3 linked regions of the Ovis aries genome follow. The protein of the gene in region 1 purifies or fractionates together with the protein of each later gene. This does not show direct contact. Links are inferred from orthologs where the notes say so. Each region holds a gene or a part of one and is shown on either strand. Other genes may lie near its edges. The genes, in order: PRKAG3, PIP4P2 and PFDN1.

Region 1 (4,319 bases):
ACACACGTGGCAGGCTAGCCTCTTCCTGGCTCTGTTCTCCTCCTCCATCCCCATAGGCAGTACAGGGGCTTTGAGGGATGATGGGAAATACGTTCACTAAATCAGCAAGAAATCCAGTAACCCATTACGGAGCATCCGTTCACTCCATGGTGAGATCGGGATGGAAGAGGCTGGAAACAGAAGAAGAAGGGGAGGGGGGCAGAGAGGAGAGCTGGAGCAGCTGGGTCAGCATTCCCAATTTGGACGCTGACTCAGGCCCCAGGAATGCTAAGGAAGGGGGGGTGGGTGGGCAGCCACCAGAACCAGCTGGGATCCTGTTGGCCCCAGGAGACGTAGAAACAGCACACACAGTGGCACGAGGGGACAGTGGCTCCTGCACACCTGGATCTACCTCCACAGGTACAAACAGGTGTCTGTCACACTGGAGACAAGTGCAAGCCCACCACACGTCGTCAAGGTGATTCTCAGGACTCCCCACCTGCCTGAACCGTCCAGTTCCAGATCCTTCACCTAGAGAACGGGCCCCTGGGACTCGAATAGTGACATCTGGACACACACTGACCACTCTCTCAGTACCACCCACAAAACTCTTAGCCCCAACCTGCTAGCCGGCTGCAACCTGCCCTTTCTAATTCCAGCACCACCCATGACCCAGGTTTGTACAAGAGAGTTCAGCTCAACTGCCTCTGTTTTTCCTCCTTTGGCACCTGACAAAGATGAGAGGGGCTCTCAGAGGAGAAACCCCAGGGCTCTGAAAGACCCCCTCCTCCCACACCAGCGCCCACCCTCCCCCCACAGCAGGGTCCTTCTCTCCCATCATCGGACACGCAGGAGGCACACAGAACCAGGCATCAAGATTCCAAGTGCACCCCTCCCCTCACCTCCCCAGCAGCCCCCAGGCTTCAGGGCTGGAGCAGCTGCGCGGGTGGACCCCTTCCTCCCCAGTGCCCGACACCCAATCAGAGAGAACCTGATCCGGGAGGGCAGGGTGCCAGGGGCCGGGCCCAGAATAGTGCTGCCCAGATACAGTGTTGCGCACTCGCTCATGGAGCCCGCCGAGCTGGAGCACGCTCTGCGCAGGGTACCGGGGTCCCGGGGGGCCGGGAGCTGGGGCAGCTGAGGCCACAGGGCTGAGAGCACCCTGCCGCATGGATATGTGCGTGCATGTGGGTGTGTTTGACCACGATTTCCTCTGTGTATAGGAGCAGGAGGCTGTCTGCATGTGTATATTCTTGGTGTGAGTCTATGTGCCTGTGTGTGTCTGGAGAGGGTTGAATATGGGAGTTTCTGAGTGTATGTAAGTGTCTAGGTGGGTTGAATGTGTTTATGTGTGTTCGGGGCGGGGGGTGGGTGTTTGAGTTTTGTGGGGGTGTGTGTGGTTGTGTATGTGTGGCAGGAAGGGCAGCTCCTGTGGTTCTGAGTGTAGGATGTTCTCCCCACCCTTTCAGTCACTCTTCTCCACACAGACCCCCTCCTGGAGCAGCTTTGGGGGACCTGAGCATCAAGGTAGGTGGGGCTGCCCCTCCTTATGGGCCCAGCCTCTTCTTCCACTTCCTCTCCTACCACGTCTCTGGCTCCCAACCTCTCCCACCCCACTAGCCTGTCTTCTTCTTTTCCTTCTTTGTTCCTACTTGCTTCTTCTTCCGCCTTTTCCCTCTCTCCTCCTTCCTCTTTCAGAAGAAGAAAGGAGGGGGGTGGATCTAGAGTCTGAAGATTTGGAGCCTCCTGACTTAATCACGTGCTAGCTGTGTGATCTGTGGCAAATTGCTTAACCTCTCTGATCTCAGGTCCCTTGTCAATAAAATAGGGATGATACTAGTGCCTCCCTTACAAGACTGCTATGAGGTCTGAATGAGAAATACACTGGAGGAAAAGACCTTTGGACGTTTGCAAATATGGAATATTATTGTTAATAACATTTCAATTGTTTTACTGTGTTACTCCCATTAACCAAACAGGCTCCATTCCCCCTTCCAGAGATGAGCTTCCTAGAGCAAGGAGACAGCACTTCATGGCCATCACCAGCCATGACCACCAATGCAGAAATAAGCCTTGGGGAACAGAGGACCAAGGTCTCAAGATGGACAAGCCAGGAGGATGTAGAGGAAGGGGAGCTTCCAGGCCTGGAGGGAGGTGAGGCCACGGCCAGTTCTGGGGAGATGGGACTGGGGGCAGTGGGAAGTCCCCGAAACTGGAGCTGGCCTTGCCCTGGATCCCTCCATAACACAGACGCTTGACATCCTGTGGCCTCAGTTTCCCCACATGAGAGAGGGCAACTGCAGTGCTGATCCAGGGGCCCAGCAAGGCCAGCTCAGGACAGAGCCACCCTCTGGTGTGACTCTCTCGGCTCTCTCACTCGCAAAATGGGGACCTCCGCATCCAGGCTTCCCACGCTGCTCTGAGGATGAAGGGAGACAACAGATGGGAACATGCTTTGGAAGATGGAGTTACTGTCCTCTCCCCATGAACAGGTCCCCAGTCCAGGCCAGCTGCTGAGTCCACCGGGCTGGAGGCCACATTCCCCAAGGCCACACCCTTGGCCCAAGCCAATCCCTTGTCTGAGGTGGGCACCCCCACAACAGAGCGAGACAGCCTCCCCGCTGATTGTACAGCCTCTGCTTCCGGCTCCAGCACAGACGGTCTGGATCTGGGCATAGAGTTCTCAGCCCCAGCAGCGTGGGGGGATGAGCTCGGCCTGGTGGAAGAGAGGCCGGCCCAGTGCCCGCCCCCGCAGGTGCCGGTGCTCAGGCTTGGCTGGGATGATGAGCTGCGGAAGCCAGGGGCCCAGGTCTACATGCACTTCATGCAGGAGCATACCTGCTACGACGCCATGGCAACCAGCTCCAAGCTGGTCATCTTTGACACCATGCTACAGGTGAGGCCGCCGTTCTGCCCCACCTGCATACTCACAGCCCCCAGGATCCCCTGCCAGCCCTGCCCGGCTACACATTCCTTCCAGAATTCCTTCTTGGCACCATGGAGACCAGGGGAGGGGAGCTTTTGCTCTCTGTGTGCACCCCCTAATTGTCATCTCAGCTCTACAACTCAGTATCTATAGGGTTTGGGGTAGGTCTTTTTACTTGCTCAGCTCTAAAATGGGGACAGGAATGCCTGCTTTACCCTACAAGTTTCAGAGGACTCCTGGGCCAATCCAGGATGACTGGGAGCATTTTTCACACCCAGAATTGTATAGAAAGCATTTCTTTCTTGCTGTGTATCGAACAGCAGACTGTAGTGTAGAATAGAAACAAGGTATATCTATGACCCACGGTTCACTTTGATTCTAGCGGTATATGAAAAAATATATTTAATTTAGTAGCTTTGCATTTATTTTGATATGTGTTACGAAGCTACAACTAGCATGTATGGATAGTATTGCTTCAGATGAGGCCAAAATGAGTCAATGTAAATATATTTAGAGAAAAATATTTTGTAAATATCAGAGAATTACACCTCTAGTATTTAGATTGGCACAAATTATCCTGTATGCATCTGTACACTTTGGACCTTGGTGTAGAAATACTAGGTTTGTCTCCTATGCCCTGGTGTGCCTGTTAAGGGGTCACCTAGTGCCCCCGGGCACCTGCAGCCTTATCTTTGTAGCAAATGTGCCCATGAGGGTCATGTCGAGTGGCAGGCAGGCTCCTGGAGTGGAGGGCCTGTGAGAAGGCCCCTTGGAAGGCCCCTGGTCAGGACAGGGGACTCTGAGGGGTGGTGAGTAACTCACCCTCAACTGTTCTCCCTGTGGCTCAGATCAAGAAGGCCTTCTTTGCCCTGGTGGCCAACGGCGTCCGGGCTGCACCTCTATGGGACAGCAAGAAGCAGAGCTTCGTGGGTGAGGAGGGGCCGGGGAGGGAAAAGGGGGACCTTGTGGGGCGATTCAGGGGCTGAGCTCTGGGGCAGGGCCCTGGCTTGGGGGGAACAGGCTGGCTGGGAGACCCCCATCTGTGGGACAGCTGTAACCAGCTGATGGAGAAGGGGCTGAGCCCTCCACCTGCCTCTGCCACAGGGCCCGGGGTGAACCCCACTCCTCTCTCTCCCCTCTCCCACCCCCACAGGGATGCTGACTATCACAGACTTCATCTTGGTTCTGCATCGCTATTACCGGTCCCCCCTGGTGAGGAGTGGGCTCAGGGTCCTGGGGGCACCCATCTGGACTGGGGCGGAGGGAGTTCAGGGAGCCCACGTCTGACTTGGGAGTTCTGTTGATGTTCTAGGTCCAGATCTATGAGATTGAAGAACACAAGATTGAGACCTGGAGGGGTGAGTGGGTAAAGGGTCCTGCAAAGGGGCTGTGTAGAGGGTGTGGGGGGCCAAGG
Region 2 (3,524 bases), on another chromosome or scaffold:
TCCTAGTGAATTCCTAGAAAACTACATTGCTTTTTGTCTTTGATCTGTATTTGGAATAAATTTGGTAATCATTTGACCAGCTATCTTTGAGAAGGATGATAAAACTAACTACATCTAATCTTAACATTTTAGCCTGTGTAAAATGTCACAGGCTTCCTTCACATTTCAGTATTCCATATGTGTGTTCTCAGTTGTGTCTGACTGACTGTGACTCCATGGATTATAGCCCTCTAGGCTTCTCTGTCTATGGAATTTTCCAGGCAAGAATACTGGAATGGGTTGCCATTTCCTCCTCCAGGGAATCTTCTCAACCCAGGCATCGAACCCAAGTCTCTTGCATGTCCTGCACTGGCAAGCAGATTCTTTACCACTGTGCCATCTGGGAAGCCCCACGTATTCCATAAATTAAGGGCATGGCAACCCACTCCAGTATTCCTGCCTGAAGAACTTCACGGACAGAGGAGCCTGGCAGGCTACAGTCCATGGACGTGCAAAGGATCAGACACGACTGAGCGACTAAAACACACACACACACCCCAATAAGAAAAATTAACCATGATCTAATGAAAAGGAGGACAATCTGATACAGATACATTTTTGTAAACTGTTAAACATTATGAAACATGTTATGTGAAACACTTTCTTCAAGTTCCATAAAGGAATACATAGAGATGGTTAATATTAAATTTCATAAATCTAGGCCAGAACTTTTATAATTAGAACATTTTCAAACAATGACAAAAATGAAAGACAAAAGTCCTGTGATCTTTGAGAACAAACATTTATCCAACATATCTCCAACGGTGGACAAATAAATATTTTATTCTCATATTTTAAATTACTACCAAAATATTATTTATTTCTACAAACAACATAAAACAAGCATACAGTATCTAGAAATGGTCTTTATCTGACAAGAATGTCAAGTCTTTGAAGGTACACTAAACATATTTTTTTTTCCTGAACAATGTCACTATGATCTTAGGTTAAAGTTACTATAAGCAGTTCAAGCAAAATGCATATTGCTTAGATTTAAAGCAAGCAATTGTGATAGCTTAATTAAAAAGTGAATATAAATGTGAAGCTATTACAGCAATATTTATAAACACTCCTTGAGAATACTCACAGACCAGCAAGTAATAGAATAATTGATTTAAAAATAATGAAAGTGTGGTGTTAGGTATAAAGATGGGAACAAATCAAAAATACCTTTAAGACATGTAAAAGAACATGAAGACCAAGCTTTATTATTTGGAGCTTGAAAACTTAGCAGCAAAAGAAACTATTTGCCTATAATGTAGTACAATAAACATTTGTTCATATAAGGCTCCCAGTCTTAAAACTTCATACATAAATGAAAATGAAATCCATTAGGTAAATGATTTAAGATGTCCAGAGTAGCTTATCAAGAACTGTTAGATACCCTCAACCGCATCACAAGGTCATAAACAAGCTTATGCAAAACTGTGTTCTGGATAACTCACTCTTATGGCTCCCCAATAACAAGCTCGGATAAGGCAGACCAAACCTAAGAGATAAGCAATTGCCCAAGAAACATAGGTTGCATGAAATCGTCTTGCAAAATCTTGGGTACCAACCTAAAATAAAAAGCAATATAAAAATAAAAGGTTAGAAACTGAGAATTTGTGTTGGCTTTTTTGGTGATTTTTATGAAACATATTCCCGAGATGACAAAATATGAGTTGCTGCATTTGTTGACTGACACGGATAGAGCAAAATTTCATAAAATGACATAGCAGATTATGTTAACTATACATTTTATCAAATCAACAAAAATCCCATTAAACCATTTATAAAGGAATTTAATCTATATCCCTGATGCCATCCCCATATTGATAATAAATCTTTGTCTGACTTGAATAAAAAGAAGAATTTTTTAGACCATTGTAGCTGAATGAGTATTGCTTCAGCTCTGGCCATGGCAAAACTGGGGCTGGCACTAAATAAAAACAAATGGGCTTTTTGTTAAATGCGTGATATCAAGAACTTTCAGAGGGATCCCAAGACATGATTTCACCTGGATGGGCAAACTCCGCTGAGAACAAGCCCATGGATTGCCTTCAGATTGCTCAAAATTTTTTAGAAGCTTCTAGCCTGGCATGTCAGGGAGGCAGGTTCTTTAGGGATCAATGAAAGTTGTTCCAAACCTCACCATTTACTACTGATCAAGTTAAGAGGAAAGAATTCTAACAAGGAATAGAGTAATACTCACAGTTAATCCAATCCCAATGAAAATACATATCATTCCAATGGTAATATATACACAGCAGCGCCTTCGAGGAAGTGCACTACCCACTGAAGAACTGTAAATTTCATGAGAACAAAAAAGAATATTAAGTATGAACATGAAGGTTCTCCATATCATCATTGTGAGTACTAATTCATGACTTTAGTAACATATATATGCTTCCATTTATTTCTTCAACTTGAGAGACAAGAACGTGCATAATAAGAATGATATCTGGGGGGACCTCCCTGGTGGTCCGGTGGTTTAGAATTCACCTTTCAATGCAGGGGACGTGGGTTCAACCCCTGGTCAGGGAACTAAGAACCCACATACCGCAGGGCAATTAAGCCCTCGAGCCAGAACTAGAGCAGTCTCCAAACTGCAACAAGAGAAGCCTGCTCCCTGCAGCTAGAGAAAGCCCATGCACCACAACAAAGAGCTTGCAGGCCACAACGAAGACCCAGTGCAACCAAAATAAAAATAAAAAAGAATGATATTTTTAATGAGCTATCTAAATCATAATTAGTGAGTTTGTGTTGTAGTGACTCGTTGTAGTTTTAAACAAGATTCAAGTCTTGGTCATTGACAATATCCATAAAAACCCACAATAGTCAATGATTATTTTCCAAGATAAAATTTTATTACCAAAAAACTCTATTTCAGAATGGAAAATAGGTTCTATCTTAAAAATAGCATTTTTTTCTCTTACATTTATAACTGTTGGCATATGTTTAGTGTAGAAAATAAGAATAAAGAATAAAAAGGAAAATTACCTATAATTCCACTACCATGAATACCACTGAACATTTTGCCTATTTTTCTGCAGCCATCTTTTCTAACTTACCAATTTAGCATAAGCATTTTCTTACATCATTAGGTATTCTCAAAGTAGAATTCTGAAAGATGAATATAACATAACTTAATGAATTCCCTACTATTGGACACTTAGCATTTTCCTTCTTGTAAATAACGCCAGCCAAGCTTCCTTGGTGGCTTAGCTGGTAAAGAATCCACCTGTAACGTGGGAGACCTGGGTTCGATCCCTGGGTTGGGAAGATCCCCTGGAGACGGGAACAGCTACCCACTCCAGTATTCTGGCTGGAGAATTTCATGGACTGTATAGTTGAAGTGGTCACAAAGAGTCGGACACGACTGAGTTACTTTCACAAGCAACATCTAAAATCATTCTGCTTTTTAAAAAGTGGAAGTAGAGGTGATTTACAATGTTTGTTTTTTTTAAATTTCTGCTGTCCAACAAAGTGACTCAATTTTACAT
Region 3 (4,224 bases), on another chromosome or scaffold:
TGGACATTTGAACAGCTAATAAGTCTAATAAAAAAAAATTTTTAAGACAGATAGTGTCATGTGTCTTGAAAAAGGAACAGAAGTAGTCTTGAAATTCCAAGGAGAGATTATTTATGGTCTGTGTGATGTAAAAAATAAAAAAAATACATAATGGATACATATTATGTGTCTGCTGCTTGCTGTATCTTGAAAGACAAATATAACAATGCTAACTACATGAACTTAATTATACCTTTTTATTGTGTGCCTACTGTGTGCATTGTGCTATGCTTGGAGCTTTCCATCCTGATCTTGTTTACTCCTCAGAATAACTCTGTTAGGTCAGTACTGTTATTCTCATATTAAATGAGGAGACAGACTCTGTTGATACACAACTAGTAAATGGAAGCAGACATACCTACGCTCAGTGTAGACCAAACCTTGAATACAGATTTGTTTAGTTCCAAACTCCCTGCCCTTTCCCCTGCCTCACAGGTTTTTAGAGTAAGGAAGATATCCATTTCTTTCATGTCCATCCTTCTAGTCATCCTTCTGGTTCAAATGCCAGCTATTTTACAGCAGATTTTCAAAATGTGGTTTGCAGTCCACTTAGATCAGATCATAAAAGGAGTTTGCAAAAGTATGTATTTCTGTGCCCCATATCAAAGATTCTAAGTAAGTTTGGGATGAGGATCAGAGAATCTGCATTTTTTTTTTCTTTTAAAAAGAAATTTGGTTTCTCGTGAGAACTCCTGTGTCTACAAGGTCTTCTGAGAACATTCAGTATAAATAAGTTCTTTGGGAAAACGCTTCAACTAAGCCTTCTGGACACGGCTGAGCGACTGAACTGAACTGAAGCCTTCTGGTCTTCTCCATGCTGCCATGTCTGAAACTCAGGCTGATTCTTTCTCATCCCTCCCTGACAGCACAGGACTCGCTGAAGGCATGAATGACTTTAAAGGTTTTAGCTTGATCTACATACATCTTAATTTAGCGACACAAACTAAACTATTTGTCGAAGTGGTTAAAACCACACACGAGGGGACGGAGGCGGGAGGGGGGTTCAGGATGGGGAACACGTGTACACCCGTGGCGGATTCATGTTGATGTATGGCAAAACCAATACAATATTGTAATTAGTCTCCAATTAAAATAAATAAATTTATATTAAAAAAACACACACACGAAATCTGCAGATTGTGCCGTGTTTGGAAGGATGTGGAGAATCACGGCAGGCCCATAGGTCACGTGGGGAAGACGTACTCTGAATCGGAATCCCGGTTATTTCAGGCGTTAATAACGACGGGGAAGGTAGGAAAACCAAGCAGCCCCACTCATGCGCAGGCGCAGAAGGAAGAGGCCCTATCAAATCTTCAGGGCGCGCCCTTCCCCCACGCTCTTTCCGGGCTTCTCCCACTGCGCAGGCGCAGTAGTGAAGCAAGATGGCGGCCCCCGTGGATCTGGAGTTGAAGAAGGTAAAAGAGGGTCTTGAGCAGGCAGAAGCTTTTCTTTGGAAGCTAAGGCGACTGTGGACAATAATGTCGAGTGAGTCTCGAGTGCTGCGGAAGGAAAGAGGCCCCAGGGAAATGGGGAGTGGTTTCTCAGAGTGCAAAGGCGGGACCGGGCCTCCTTAGGCGGGAGTCGAGGGCGAGCGGCTCTTTGCCGGGTAAGAGCCGGTTGGGCTGGGCCTGGTTAAGTTTGGCGGGCCTATAGCTGTTTTGTTCCCTTGTTCCGAGCTCCAGAGACCTTTCGTTGCTCTTGGTGCCTTCAGTTCCATAGTGAGGCCTGAAATGAGCGCTTCCAGTTGGAGCCTCTTAGCCTGCTTGCCCGAGCTGTAGCATCTGTAATTCTGTATACTAATTTGCTTTGAAAAACTCCAAGTCCAGTCTGTTTTTAGGTCAGTTCTTTAATCCCATATCTTGTAAGGTCGCTTCATACAGTTCAGTCAGGTATCCTCGTAGCAATGTTCATCTTAGGGCTTTGCCAACAACCGCCCCCTCCCCACCCTCGTTTTTAAAGATTTGTCAAAGAAGAAACAAGTCAAAGGTTTCCAGATCAAATTGGTATCAGAAGGAATTGAGTTTCTCTCTTCAAACAATTGCCTAGAAATGTGTTGTTACACAGAAATGTTTTCACCACCTGAGAGTTGTCAGGATTCTAACACCACTACCGACTCAAAAGCGTATCCTTTTTTTTTTTTTTTTTTTTGCGAAGAGAAGGAGAATGGGGATTGGAAAGGAGCCTAGACTTCATCTACTTTAAACTGATACTTTTCTAGAAAAGGAAACAGTTTAACAGAAGAGTCAGCCCAAGCTTGGTTCTAGAATATTGCATTCTCTGCCTCACTTTCCACCTTTTGACCACTACTTGAGGTTAGAAGAGCAAATTTTGTTTAAGACTGTCTTGTAATCTATCTTTGCATGAGAAATAAGACAGTTGAAGTAGCTCTTCCACGTAATAGATGAAGCAGTGTATTATTGCTCTGAGGATTTGTGTGTGTGTATTGCCTTTTGTTTGGAACTTGTACCTTTACTCCTTATGGTGCTGTCTAGTGCTGTATTATCTCAGCTTTAACAAAATACTAGCTTCCTTACCAAACTGTGTCTTAAAGTGTTTTAAAAGTTTACCTTTTTTTTCCGTTAAAAGTTCAAATTTAAGTTAGGGTTTAGTGAGAGCTAACAATAGAATACAGCTATGAATGGACTTACCCCTCAGTATTATTTCAGTCTGTTGCTGGGAAACCTGTGGACAGTGAATGCAAACTAAGAAGATAATTACAGACTTAAATTGGGTAGTTTTGTCAACCAATAAAATTACAGAAGAAACTTGTTTAAAGGTCTTTTAATGTTTATAATTTTGGGGGGAGGGGAAGGGATGGAGACTAATAGGAAACTTTAGGTACCTCCTCTCCCCTCTAGATAAACCTTTTGAAACCTTACTAGTAGGTGAGAACAAAGTCAGAATAAAAGTTAGTAGCTTTTTGCCATGTATTGCAGCCACAGATGTTATTATTAAGTCAGAATTTGACAGCATGTGAAAATCATTCTAGGCACTTCAGAAGTATCAAAAACCTTTTAACAGTACTCAGAGGTCAAGTTTGGCTTATCGTGTGCATATGAAGATCATGATGCAATTCTTTTATCAATGCTTTGAATTTTTTTGTGTGTCTTTCTCTTAAAATATTCATTTTCTGAATATTACTGTGGATAGTAGAGTAGAAAGATTCAGTAACTAGCGGTCAGAAGTTAATTAAGTACTTGGTTTTTGACCTAGTAGTTGCTCAGCCCTGTGAAAGTCATTTATATCTCTTTAAAACATTTAGTTAATTTGTAAACTGTGCTGATGAATCTGCCATCCTTAACTCAGGATTATTGAAAAGAGAAAATGAGACATTTATTATATGTCAGTATTCTCATATTAATATTCACATGTTAATATTTCAAACAAGTGTGGGAAAGTGCTTTAAATAATCTTGAGTAGTACAGATGTGGTGAGTTGTTACATTAATGGTTCCTGATTTGGGTCTCTGGGTTTGTGATTGTTGCCTTTAGAGCTTTTATTAATCCTTGGGTACCTGCTACTTGATATGGTTGTTATTTACCGTGCCTTTGTTCAGCTTCTTCAGATAGGTTGCATCTTCTGAGGACTGGGTAAGTTCAGTACAGTTGACTCTTGAACAGCATTGGTTTAAACGTCAGGGATCCAGTTGTACACAGATTTTTAAAATAGTAAATACTAGAGTACTACATGATATGTAGTTGGTTGAATCAACAAATGTAGAACCAGGGATACAAAGGAACTGCTATATGGAGAGTCAACTATAAATTATACTTGGATTTTCAACTGCACAGAGGGTCAGTGCTTCTAATCACTGAATTGTTCAGGGCTCAAGTTTTTAGCAGACTGGCTTTGAGATGTTTGCTGTGGTAAATTTCACGGCTTTGTCTGTTTAACAGGCTTCATTTTAATAGATTTGATATAGACATTTACTGTAAAATGTTGCACCTACTAAATCAAGGACTTATTTCTTTTTAGGCCTTCACAGAGCTTCAAGCCAAAGTTATTGACACTCAACAGAAGGTGAAGCTTGCAGATGTACAGATTGAACAGCTGAACAGAACGAAAAAGCATGCACATCTTACAGATACAGAGATTATGACTTTGGTAGATGAGACTAACATGTATGAAGGTGTAGGAAGAATGTAAGTAAAGTATATCCTTAAGGGGGTTATCCTGAAAGAAGTT

The links.
Region 2: the proteins of PRKAG3 (region 1) and PIP4P2 purify together in Homo sapiens (affinity purification with mass spectrometry; 3 studies listed by BioGRID and IntAct, with this or other methods). This does not show direct contact. The link is inferred for Ovis aries from reciprocal best matches to the Homo sapiens genes PRKAG3 and PIP4P2.
Region 3: the proteins of PRKAG3 (region 1) and PFDN1 purify together in Homo sapiens (affinity purification with mass spectrometry; 3 studies listed by BioGRID and IntAct, counting the BioPlex papers as one, with this or other methods). This does not show direct contact. The link is inferred for Ovis aries from reciprocal best matches to the Homo sapiens genes PRKAG3 and PFDN1.

Annotation. Positions count from the first base shown.
Region 1 is NC_056055.1:220,806,491-220,810,809, reverse strand, and holds the start of PRKAG3 (5'-AMP-activated protein kinase subunit gamma-3), read left to right. Parts: upstream 1-1,506; intron 1,507-1,958; coding exon of another isoform or gene 1,959-1,979; coding exon 1,980-2,133; intron 2,134-2,471; coding exon 2,472-2,875; intron 2,876-3,753; coding exon 3,754-3,835; intron 3,836-4,058; coding exon 4,059-4,117; intron 4,118-4,217; coding exon 4,218-4,263; intron 4,264-4,319. UniProt on the Homo sapiens protein: AMP/ATP-binding subunit of AMP-activated protein kinase (AMPK), an energy sensor protein kinase that plays a key role in regulating cellular energy metabolism.
Region 2 is NC_056062.1:86,355,787-86,359,310, reverse strand, and holds part of PIP4P2 (type 2 phosphatidylinositol 4,5-bisphosphate 4-phosphatase), read right to left. Parts: intron 2,325-3,524; coding exon 2,234-2,324; intron 1,599-2,233; coding exon 1,455-1,598; 3' UTR 1-1,454. UniProt on the Homo sapiens protein: Catalyzes the hydrolysis of phosphatidylinositol-4,5-bisphosphate (PtdIns-4,5-P2) to phosphatidylinositol-4-phosphate (PtdIns-4-P).
Region 3 is NC_056058.1:49,170,279-49,174,502, reverse strand, and holds the start of PFDN1 (prefoldin subunit 1), read left to right. Parts: upstream 1-1,405; 5' UTR 1,406-1,421; coding exon 1,422-1,454; intron 1,455-4,014; coding exon 4,015-4,181; intron 4,182-4,224. UniProt on the Homo sapiens protein: Binds specifically to cytosolic chaperonin (c-CPN) and transfers target proteins to it. Binds to nascent polypeptide chain and promotes folding in an environment in which there are many competing pathways for nonnative proteins.